Linked DNA regions of Arabidopsis thaliana. The protein of the gene in region 2 purifies or fractionates together with the protein of the main gene of each other region. This does not show direct contact. Each region holds a gene or a part of one and is shown on either strand. Other genes may lie near its edges.

Region 1 (3,754 bases), on a different chromosome or scaffold from region 2:
AAGAGAGTCAGAGGGTTCAAAATTGGACACAGATTTGTCAAAATTTTCAAATGGATACCAAGAAACAGATGCCCGACCCGAATCACAAACCCGGTTACCGGAATCCGGTCATTAGCACGGTGTTTAAGCCGTGGAGCTAAGAGATTGTGCGGTGGAAGCAAGAAGAATCCGGGTCAGAATCAGATCCGGTTGGGTAAGGATCCGAAAAAGTCGAACCGGGTTGTTCCTCGAGGACATTTGGTGGTTCATGTCGGCGAATCAGACGATGACACGCGGCGAGTTGTGGTGCCGGTGATTTACTTTAATCATCCATTGTTTGGAGAATTGTTGGAGCAAGCGGAGCGGGTTCATGGGTTTGATCAACCGGGTCGGATCACTATTCCTTGTCGGGTTTCGGATTTTGAAAAAGTCCAGTTGAGGATCGCTGCATGGGATCATTGCCGCAGGAAAAATTCTTACAAGATTATATAATTTGAATTTATAAAATAGTCAAAAATCAAAAGAGGATTAAAAAAATTTATATACACTTATACAGTACAGAGAAGGATGATTTCCTTTAATTTGTGAATATTAGTTTTTTTTACCATCTATGTTATACGATAAATACCGATTCATAAATACAAGATAATTATTTGTATCAGTTTATTTCATGGATGATAGACCACATTGACATCCTATAATACTATATGGTTTAGATTTATGTGTGTAATTTTATAAGTTAGAACAAAACTGAAATTATGTTCTAACTTATAAAATTACACACATAAAAACTGAAATTAAAAAAAAAAAACAGAAAAAACTGAAATTGGGCTATCAGTATTTTTGAATACTTATATTTCAATATATCAAATACAGTGAGTGATGGTGTATTGCTGTATCTGAAACCTATCATCCACTATAAACCCCAATTGAAGTGAAACAATCAATATTTAGAATTTCCATATAATGTTAATTATGAAATTACTTCTATCTAAATATATTTCAGAAGAATTTTTGAGATACCACTTTTATGATTTTTATTTTTTTTTAATAATACCACTGTTTTTTTTTTTTGTTAATTTTCAATGTAACACAAAATGCAATCATAGAATTTGTTTTATTAACTTTTATAGAGCATATTATAAAAACGTTTATAAAGTTTCTATAATGCATAATATCAAACATTTATAAGATTTTTCACAAAATTTTTAATGTTTTATAGTGCTTAGAAGATTTTTCTTAAGAAATGATATGAAACTAGAATTTTTGAACAACCTTTTTCTGGTCTTTTTGAAAAATGGTATCATAAAGGTGGTAATTTTCAAAATTTCCCAAATTTGAATACAAATTCAAATCATATTGTAGGAAAGTGATCAAATATGTTAAAATTTAGAAGATGAGGTGAGAACAAATGTGCAGAGGAGATGCACTTGCTAAATTTGCATCTTCATGTGATTTGTATTTTGCTTTTTAGATTGTAGTTTACCACTTTGGTTGGTTACAAGTATTTGGAGAAACCATGTACTACTTGTTCTTTGAGTATTAATATATATGATTATATGTGGTATGTTTAGAAAAAAACAAAAAAACCAAATATCAAACCTAAACTTATTAAAAGTAAAGACACATTTGATTAAAACCTAAACCAAAAACGTACAAAACTATTCGCTTATGATGATATTATTTATCATAACCAAAACTTTAATCACCATACATACCTCCGATTTGGTTTTCTCTCCCAAACTGGTCGTCTTCTCACCTCTGGTTTACTACTACTTCGGATTGAAGAATTTTGATCGTCTCGTTGCTAACTCCACGATGTCTTTCTGACGCTTAATCTTCTGACAGAAGACAAAGACATAGCATAAAAAAGTAAGCACAGAACATAAACGGATGTTTATTCTTTTCTAGACGGTATATTTACATAAATAACGAATCACTTATCAAAAAGCTGGAGTAGCTCAGTTGGTTAGAGCGTGTGGCTGTTAACCACAAGGTCAGAGGTTCGACCCCTTTCTCTAGCGTTTCTTTTCCTTTTGTATTTTTAAGATTTAAAAACATTTTTCCACGGCTACAAAAGAACATTCTCGACATACACAAAAAAATTCGAAATTTCGAGAACTCTCTTGTGCCTTCTTCTTCATCTTCCTCTGTTTTTAAAAATGCAATCAAGCAGATTCTCACGATACCTAAACCAAATCCAATTCAATGGCGGAAGAAGCAAAATCCAAAGGAAACGCAGCTTTCTCTTCCGGCGATTACGCCACCGCAATAACCCATTTCACAGAAGCAATCAACCTTTCACCAACCAATCACATCCTCTACTCAAACAGATCCGCTTCTTACGCTTCTCTCCACCGTTACGAAGAAGCTTTATCAGACGCGAAGAAGACTATAGAGCTTAAACCTGATTGGTCTAAAGGATATAGCCGATTAGGTGCTGCGTTTATTGGATTGTCCAAGTTTGATGAAGCGGTTGATTCGTATAAGAAAGGATTAGAGATTGATCCGAGTAATGAGATGCTTAAATCGGGATTAGCTGATGCTTCGAGATCTAGGGTTTCGTCAAAGTCGAATCCTTTTGTTGATGCGTTTCAAGGGAAGGAGATGTGGGAGAAGTTGACGGCGGATCCGGGGACTAGGGTTTATTTGGAGCAGGATGATTTTGTTAAGACGATGAAGGAGATTCAGAGGAACCCTAATAATCTTAATTTGTATATGAAGGATAAGAGAGTTATGAAGGCTTTAGGGGTTTTGTTGAATGTGAAGTTTGGTGGATCTAGTGGTGAAGATACTGAGATGAAGGAGGCTGATGAGAGGAAAGAGCCTGAACCGGAGATGGAACCTATGGAGTTGACGGAGGAGGAGAGGCAGAAGAAGGAGAGAAAGGAGAAGGCTTTGAAGGAGAAAGGGGAAGGAAATGTTGCTTATAAGAAGAAGGATTTTGGGAGAGCTGTTGAACATTATACTAAGGCCATGGAGCTCGATGATGAGGATATTTCGTATTTGACGAATCGTGCTGCTGTTTATCTTGAGATGGGGAAGGTATTAAGTCTTATACTTGGCTTAAAAGTTAAACCTTTAGGTACTTTAAGATTAAGGAGGAGATCTTGGGTTCTTGAAGTAGCTTATCTGTTTAGTATAGCTTGTCACTAGTTAGTACATTTGTGATGACCTTGATGGGTTTTGATAACTTTCATCTGCTTCTTGTTGGAGATTTAAGAGTTTTGAACTTAAGTTTTCACTTGTGCTGAAAGTAGTTAGCTTTAGATGAGGTAGAAATTTAGGGTTTATGGCTTCATGATGGAGTTTATTCACTTGTTCTGTAGAAGTGGTTATCTTTATTATTACTGGAATCAATTAATCTTCAAGTATCCTGAGTGGTTCAATTCCATTGGTCTATGTGTTCTTGCATTAGTCTTGTTTAATTAACAGTTGGTTCATCTGGATCTTACTGTATCTTGTGTGATGTTTTACTTCATTTCTCAAATGAAATTATCAGTACGAGGAGTGCATTGAAGACTGTGACAAGGCTGTTGAAAGAGGCAGAGAACTTCGTTCTGACTTCAAGATGATAGCAAGAGCTCTGACTAGAAAAGGATCTGCTCTAGTGAAAATGGCGAGATGCTCGAAAGACTTTGAGCCTGCGATTGAGACTTTCCAGAAAGCTCTTACAGAGCATCGTAATCCAGATACATTGAAGAAACTGAACGATGCTGAGAAAGTCAAGAAAGAGCTGGAGCAACAGGAGTACTTTGATCCTACGATAGCCGAG
Region 2 (3,754 bases):
AATGCTCCATGGCGTGTCTCTCAAGGGAAATGCCTACTGGTTTGCTAGAGAGAATTATACCGAAACAATGGACACAGACCATTTTTTCTTACTCTGTTTTGATTTCACAAGCGAGACATTTGGGCCGCCTTTGCCTCTTCCGTTTGAGTTTGCTGTTTCTGAAGATACTATGAGTGTATCTAGTGTTAGAGAAGAGCAGCTTGTTGTATTATATCAGCCGTGGGATTATTTACAGTTGGACATCTGGGTGACGTCTAAGATTGAGCCCAACGCTGTGTCGTGGAACAGCAAGGTGTTCTTATCAGTGAGTTTAAAACAACTCGTCAGCCCTCAGTTTCAGTTAACTTTTGGGAGTTTCTTCATCGACGAGGAGAAGAAAGTCGCTGTGGTTTTTGATAAAGACTACGATAATAAGCGCAACATAGCTTACATCTTTGGAGTGGATGGATCCTTTAAAGCAGTTGATCTCGGAGATTCAGACCGAAAGTGTTTTCCACTTGTGTGCTCTTATGTTCCAAGTCTAGTGCAACTTAATTAGTCGACCATCTATTCCTTGCTTACTTTTTTTCTTCCTCTTTTGTCATCTTCTTTGAACAAGATCATTATTTGTTAGTCAATAACATATTAACTTGTTTCTCATACTTGTTTTTGTTTGCCATATATATTTGAATTCGTTTCCAAATGGTGCACACGCTCCTTCCCCTGCAGCTAATCGTTTGTTACTTTCAGTCCCCTTAAGTTGGAGCAAACTGTATGCTTCTTGGTTGGCATTCTCCGCGAAAGCATGCATCGTTTCTTCCAAGAGTCTTTAGGTATTGATAGTTCATCGTTTTCTTTTTCTATTGTAACACAGTAGCAGTTAAAGATAAGTCGAACGGGTGATCTTTTTGTTCATTAGACAAAACTAGAGAGGTTTCTCTTCTCTTTCTTCTAGTAAGGAACAAGGCTAAGGTTAATAGATAGCTAGCTATCTGAGATATCTCACAAAAGCTTTCACTATGGCCCTGTACTATATCAACTTCATATTTTAGGTGTTTCATATTTCAGATAAAATGTGCTCATATCTTCTTCCTCTTTGTTCAGCGTCTTCTGCAAAAGTGATATAGATCTTGACATGCTGCTAAAATACCTCTTGATATATTTAGTTTTTCTTACCAATTTAAGTTATAGCATAATCCTTTTATCATGTTAGTTATTGTTCTATCCTAATTGTCTAGCATGGAGTAGAATGATTTTGAAGCAGGGACTTGTAGAACGATTTTTCGTGTGCCACAGGTTTACTCCCTTCCTTAATGTGGTGACCAGCGCTTGTCCTTGTGGTCTGTCCACTCATTCTGCTATCTTTCAACGAATATCACAAAATAATAGTGGTTAGTATGTCTCATATGATTACCTTAAATTTAGCGGCTACTGACTGATGAATCATGAGGCTTTACGCTACTACTATTTCTCTTGTGTTCCACAAGGCGTTTCCAATACTTGGTGATATCCTCCAACGACATCTGCCTAGTATTTTGACCTTGCCAGTTGCCAAATCAATTAATAAACCCTTCACCAGAAGATTCTTACTACATCAAACAATAAATAAAACTAAAGTTTGACTGGAAGAAGAGTTTTGGAACGTTAGACAAATTTTCAGCATTTGACGATATGAAAGATGTCTAAATCTAAAGAAACAGAGATACAATTCTTTCAATATTATATACTTGCTAACTATCAAGAACAGGCATGAAAAAATAAAAATATTAAAAAAAAATACATATTACTATATAGAATTCATATGTCATCGATAACTTTTACATTATTTTTTACAATCCGCCTTACTTAAACGCGCCTTATCTAATAGATATATAAATGTATCTCTATTTATATTATAATTTAATTTAAAATCAATATAAAAAAATGTGTTTTTTCAATTTTTAAACCACATAACCTAATAGTATAATATTTGATATATTATTATTTTGTTTTAAGAATGTAGTATATTTGTATTTTATTAGCAAAACCATTATTAAATTGTAACTTTTTTTTCTTCTATATAAAGTTTCAAAATCCACTTAAGAAGTGAAGATATAAGTGAACAAAGGATGTAGCGTAATCTAGCACAACATATTTAAACCTCACAAAACCCACCCGAAAGATGAACCCATATCTCTCTACTCTGTTGCTGACGATACATACACCTTTACTTACATTATATTCCCGCCATCGCGATGGCGACGTCTCTGAATCTATCATCGATCTTCTCCTCCTCCTCAAGGCTCGTCACCACTCCCTCCTCTGTTTTTCCCATCCGTCAGAGGCGACGGATCATCCTCGTTACGTCTTCTTCTTCCGGAGGTGGAGGAAAACCGACGATTCTCGTAACGGAGAAGCTAGGCCAAGCGGGGATCGATCTGCTTAAGAAGTACGCTAATGTGGATTGCTCTTATGATCTGAGTCTCGAGGAGCTTTGTACGAAGATCTCTCTTTGTGATGCGCTCATCGTCAGGAGTGGTACCAAGGTTGGGAGAGATGTGTTTGAATCGTCGCGTGGGAGGCTTAAGGTTGTTGGACGCGCTGGTGTTGGGATTGATAACGTCGATTTGGCGGCGGCGACTGAGTATGGGTGTTTGGTTGTTAATGCTCCGACTGCGAACACTGTGGCTGCTGCTGAACACGGAATTGCGCTTTTGACCGCCATGGCTAGAAACATTGCTCAAGCTGATGCTTCTATCAAAGCTGGTGAGTGTTTTAAACGGTTGTTGAATTTGAATAGCGATTTGAGAAATTGCGATGTGAAATGTAGAAATGTGGTTGTTTGTAGGCAAATGGACGAGAAACAAGTATGTAGGTGTTTCACTTGTGGGGAAGACTCTTGCTGTTCTTGGTTTTGGTAAAGTTGGATCAGAGGTTGCTAGACGAGCCAGGGGACTTGGTATGCATGTCATTACACATGATCCTTATGCACCAGCGGATCGTGCACGAGCTATTGGTGTGGAGCTTGTTAGTTTTGAAGTAGCTATTTCAACTGCTGACTTCATCTCTTTGCATCTGCCTCTTACTGCTGCTACTTCGAAGATGATGAATGATGTGACCTTTGCGATGATGAAGAAAGGAGTCCGTATTGTTAATGTTGCTCGTGGTGGAGTTATTGATGAGGAAGCTCTTTTGAGAGCGCTTGACTCGGGTATTGTTGCTCAGGCAGCTCTTGATGTTTTTACAGTAGAGCCACCTGTTAAAGATAATAAGTTGGTGTTACATGAGAGTGTCACTGCCACACCTCATCTTGGTGCTAGTACTATGGAGGCTCAGGTATTACATACTGTATATTCGTTTTGCCTTTAGTGCATTTTGTTCTGCTCTCCTGAAACCTTTACTTGACGCCTAGGAAGGAGTGTCTATCGAAGTCGCAGAAGCTGTTATTGGAGCTTTGAGAGGAGAACTTGCTGCTACCGCGGTCAATGCACCAATGGTTCCACTAGAGGTAATTTCAGACTTCACTATAGAGTCCTTAATTCAGGATCAAGTTTCATTCTTCTAGTTCTTGGTGATATTGCAAGTAGTGATAATGATTTGTCCTGCAAATTCTCTGACACTGTTCAGTTGCTATCTGTTTTCAGGTATTGAGGGAGCTGAAGCCGTATGTTGTACTTGCTGAGAAGCTTGGGAGGCTGGCTGTACAATTGGTAACTGGTGGAAGCGGTGTGAATGCTGTGAAAGTGACTTATGCTTCTTCCAGAGCTCCTGATGATCTCGACACTAGACTTCTCCG
Region 3 (3,754 bases), on a different chromosome or scaffold from region 2:
CTCAATTTGCGAGAGTAGCTTATTGTGTTTTGGTTGTAAGAAAGTAATTTGGATTCCCATGTTTCTCCAGGAAAATCATGGAACAATCTTAGTCAAAGGGATACATGTTCGCGTAATTGCATTGGTGTGGTGATCAGGTTATCTCGCCCCACGAGTGATAGGTATTTATTGAGTTTTGAACTCGTGGATTAGTTTTATGACTCATTCTATGCTTTTCTCATCCAATGTTTTATCTTTTGAGATTTTCAGGTGTTTTGGCCTCGTTAGACATTTTGATGAGTATTCAAGAAAGCACTCGGTATTACAATTAGCCAATACTTGTTCCTCACCATCGAACTTGGCAAAATCATTCTCAATTAAGACCTCTCTGTTAACATCTTTAAACTTGGTCCAGGTGATGTTCGAGGATGGTGTTACCGAGTTTGTCGACATGTCGAGAGAAGACTGGGAGATTGTCTAATATTGTTTTCAGGTGATTTATACTCTTCACTCTCTTAATGAAACATTAAAACTCCCAGAAGCATAGAGTATTAAATTACCCTGGCTGCTATGTTTCTGCAGATTGCTTTGAAGTTGAGAAACCAAAATAACCTGTCTTGGTAAACTAAAGGTATCCCAAAAAACCCGGGTCTGACTGACTGGGATTGGTGCAGTGACATTGTTTGTTGCGTCTAACTTGTGACCTGTGTTTGTACAACCATTATAAGAGATATCATATATCTACTTGTGTAACCACATCTGTACTTTCTTCTCCTTCCTTCTTTTTTCATGGGGATCTCAAATGATGATGTCTTGCAAGAACCTTCGTGGTGTGTAATTGACTTTGTAAGAACCGGTAATCTCATATCCGGTTTAGCTTTTAAAAATTTGTATCCAAAGACCGGTTTGTTCTTGTTTGCATGTGCTGTTCTTATTCGTGCATCTGTGTGAGTGTGACTGTGTCGGTGTCGCCGACAAAAGCCGGTGTTTGCAAAATCTGACCAGTTTTGTTTTAGCGATTAACGTTTCAAATTCCTTCAAATGCAAAATGAGTTAAACAAGTGAAAAATTACTAAAACAACATAACAGTTTTAAATTGGAAAAAGTTTTGTAAAGTTTAAAGATACACTGTAAGTGAAAAACGGAAAATTTTAATTAGATTTTTTTTTTTTTTTTTTTTTTTTGGTAAAAGTAGATTATTTTTGTTAAACAAAAGTGATGGATCATTGGTTTTTTGGTAGTAGGTGGGTGATGTGGGTGTGTGGTTCTGGTTCACCAACTCAAAAAGCATAGACTGCAGGGGTTGGGGATTGATAACGACAAATCTAATTGTGGTTGGTAAATCTTTTACTAATCACATTCCTTTAAAATAATTATGTAACTCATCTTGTTTACTAATATCAACTCGACTATCTTAATATCAAATAACTCGGATTCTTCATTTTTTTCACTTTAGAATGGTTTGGTAAATCTCTTGAATAATAAACACTTTAATAAAAATGTTTTTTTTTGTCAAGCATAAAAATGTAACTCATGTTGTCTAACTACATGGATTTTCGCACAAAACAATGATTAAATGTAAATTATGTAATTATACTTTATTTAAAGTATGATTTTGTCTTAAAAATGAAAATAATATAAGGAAGTGGACGGGTAAGGTAAAGTCTAAAATTCACCAAACATTTTGGAATCTCTCTGTTTACTATAAAGCAGTGAGTAGAAGAACCTGAAAGAACTCGCCTTTGTCTCTCATTCTTCTTCTCCATTTCGAAAAGAAGATGAAGGTGATAGATAAGATCCAGTCATTAGCCGACGAAGGCAAAACAGCGTTTTCCTTCGAATTCTTCCCACCAAAGACAGAAGATGGAGTCGACAATCTCTTTGAGAGAATGGATCGAATGGTTGCTTATGGTCCAACGTTTTGCGATATCACTTGGGGAGCTGGTGGATCTACCGCAGATCTAACGCTTGATATAGCTTCGAGGATGCAAAACGTTGTTTGTGTTGAGAGTATGATGCATCTTACGTGTACTAACATGCCTGTTGAGAAGATTGATCATGCTCTTGAGACTATTAGATCTAATGGGATTCAGAATGTGCTTGCTCTTAGAGGTGATCCTCCTCATGGTCAAGATAAGTTTGTTCAGGTTGAAGGTGGTTTTGATTGTGCTTTGGATCTTGTTAATCACATTCGTAGCAAGTATGGTGATTACTTTGGTATCACTGTCGCTGGTTATCCTGGTAATGTCTCGAATTCGAATTTGATTTCTTTGTTTCGTGTGATTTGTAGCTAAAGATTGGATTTTTATGTGTTTTGATATTTCAGAGGCGCATCCTGATGTTATTGGTGAGAATGGTCTTGCGTCTAATGAAGCTTATCAGAGTGATCTTGAGTATCTGAAGAAAAAGGTTTGTTTTGTTTGTTTTTGTTTTGCTTTGTTCTTAAATGTCTGCATCAATTTTTGAATTTGGGTTTGTCTTGGAACAGATTGATGCTGGAGCTGATCTGATTGTTACTCAGCTTTTCTATGATACTGATATATTCCTCAAGTTTGTGAATGATTGTCGGCAAATTGGGATTAGTTGTCCCATTGTTCCTGGAATTATGCCTATTAATAACTACAGAGGCTTTTTGCGTATGACTGGTTTCTGCAAGACTAAGGTAAGTTTTGATCGTTTAGTAAACACCAGTTCCTGCAAATGAATCACCTTTTAGGAGATGAATGATATTGCTTGTTGCCTTTCCATAAAGGTGTTTGTTTGCTAGCTTAGGATATGTTTTTAAAAAAGTGTATTTAAGGTTTCGTGATCAGCTAGATGAAATTGAGATACTTGATTATATTATTGTTTTCAGAGAAAGTGTTTGTTGGATAGCTATTCAAAGAGAATTCTTTATATTAATGTAGATACCAGCTGTGCTTTTTGTGAAAAAAAGATAGATGAATTTACATATGATTATATTAATGTAGATACCAGTTGAGGTGATGGCTGCCTTGGAGCCTATCAAGGATAACGAAGAAGCTGTGAAAGCCTATGGTATTCACCTTGGAACAGAGATGTGTAAAAAGATGTTGGCTCATGGAGTCAAGTCTCTTCATCTCTACACATTGAACATGGAGAAATCTGCTCTTGCAATATTGATGGTTGGTCCTCACTTTTTCTACTTGATGTAAAGCATGATACTGATAGTGGAGTAGCTTTACTATTTTGTTGTTGTTTCAGAATCTTGGTATGATTGATGAGTCCAAAATTTCTCGTTCTTTACCCTGGAGACGCCCTGCAAATGTTTTCCGTACTAAGGAAGATGTGCGCCCCATTTTCTGGTAACAGAGCTTAGTTTCTCTCGTTCTGATTATACTTAGCCACATATTTTACTCTGCAGGGAAAATAAGACTTGTTCTTTCTTCTAATCTTTTGAAGGGCAAACCGTCCAAAGAGCTACATTTCTAGAACCAAGGGCTGGGAAGATTTCCCACAAGGCCGGTGGGGTGATTCACGCAGTGCTTCATATGGTGCACTCTCGGATCATCAGGTACTACAATACATCATCTGTAATTGCACAACTCTCTTTCAAGATTTCATAACAAAGGGGTTTTGAAGGGTATTTCTTCGATTGGTCTTTTTGATTTGCTCTAGATTGTTAAATGTAACATCTTCTTGTGAGCTTGTTTGCTGAACTAAATGCTTTTGTTGTCAGTTCTCACGTCCGCGAGCACGTGACAAGAAGCTTCAACAAGAATGGGTTGTCCCACTGAAAAGTGTTGAAGATATTCAG

Evidence for each region.
Region 1: the proteins of AT3G19480 (region 2) and Hop3 fractionate together in Arabidopsis thaliana (co-fractionation; one large-scale study listed by BioGRID). This does not show direct contact.
Region 3: the proteins of AT3G19480 (region 2) and MTHFR2 fractionate together in Arabidopsis thaliana (co-fractionation; one large-scale study listed by BioGRID). This does not show direct contact.

Annotation. Positions count from the first base shown.
Region 1 is NC_003075.7:7,339,673-7,343,426, reverse strand, and holds the start of Hop3 (stress-inducible protein), read left to right. Parts: upstream 1-2,065; 5' UTR 2,066-2,187; coding exon 2,188-3,024; intron 3,025-3,481; coding exon 3,482-3,754. Other genes in the region: AT4G12410 (SAUR-like auxin-responsive protein family), read left to right, coding at 1-471. UniProt on the Arabidopsis thaliana protein: Mediates the association of the molecular chaperones HSP70 and HSP90. Mediates nuclear encoded chloroplast preproteins binding to HSP90 prior to chloroplastic sorting. Involved in acclimation to heat.
Region 2 is NC_003074.8:6,750,377-6,754,130, forward strand, and holds the start of AT3G19480 (D-3-phosphoglycerate dehydrogenase), read left to right. Parts: upstream 1-2,045; 5' UTR 2,046-2,213; coding exon 2,214-2,724; intron 2,725-2,806; coding exon 2,807-3,294; intron 3,295-3,370; coding exon 3,371-3,466; intron 3,467-3,602; coding exon 3,603-3,754. Other genes in the region: AT3G19470 (F-box and associated interaction domains-containing protein), read left to right, coding at 1-538. UniProt on the Arabidopsis thaliana protein: Involved in the plastidial phosphorylated pathway of serine biosynthesis (PPSB).
Region 3 is NC_003071.7:18,260,544-18,264,297, forward strand, and holds the start of MTHFR2 (methylenetetrahydrofolate reductase 2), read left to right. Parts: upstream 1-1,645; 5' UTR 1,646-1,757; coding exon 1,758-2,220; intron 2,221-2,305; coding exon 2,306-2,388; intron 2,389-2,467; coding exon 2,468-2,641; intron 2,642-2,948; coding exon 2,949-3,122; intron 3,123-3,201; coding exon 3,202-3,302; intron 3,303-3,399; coding exon 3,400-3,511; intron 3,512-3,676; coding exon 3,677-3,754. Other genes in the region: histone-lysine N-methyltransferase ASHH3, read left to right, coding at 71-161, 250-298, 395-460.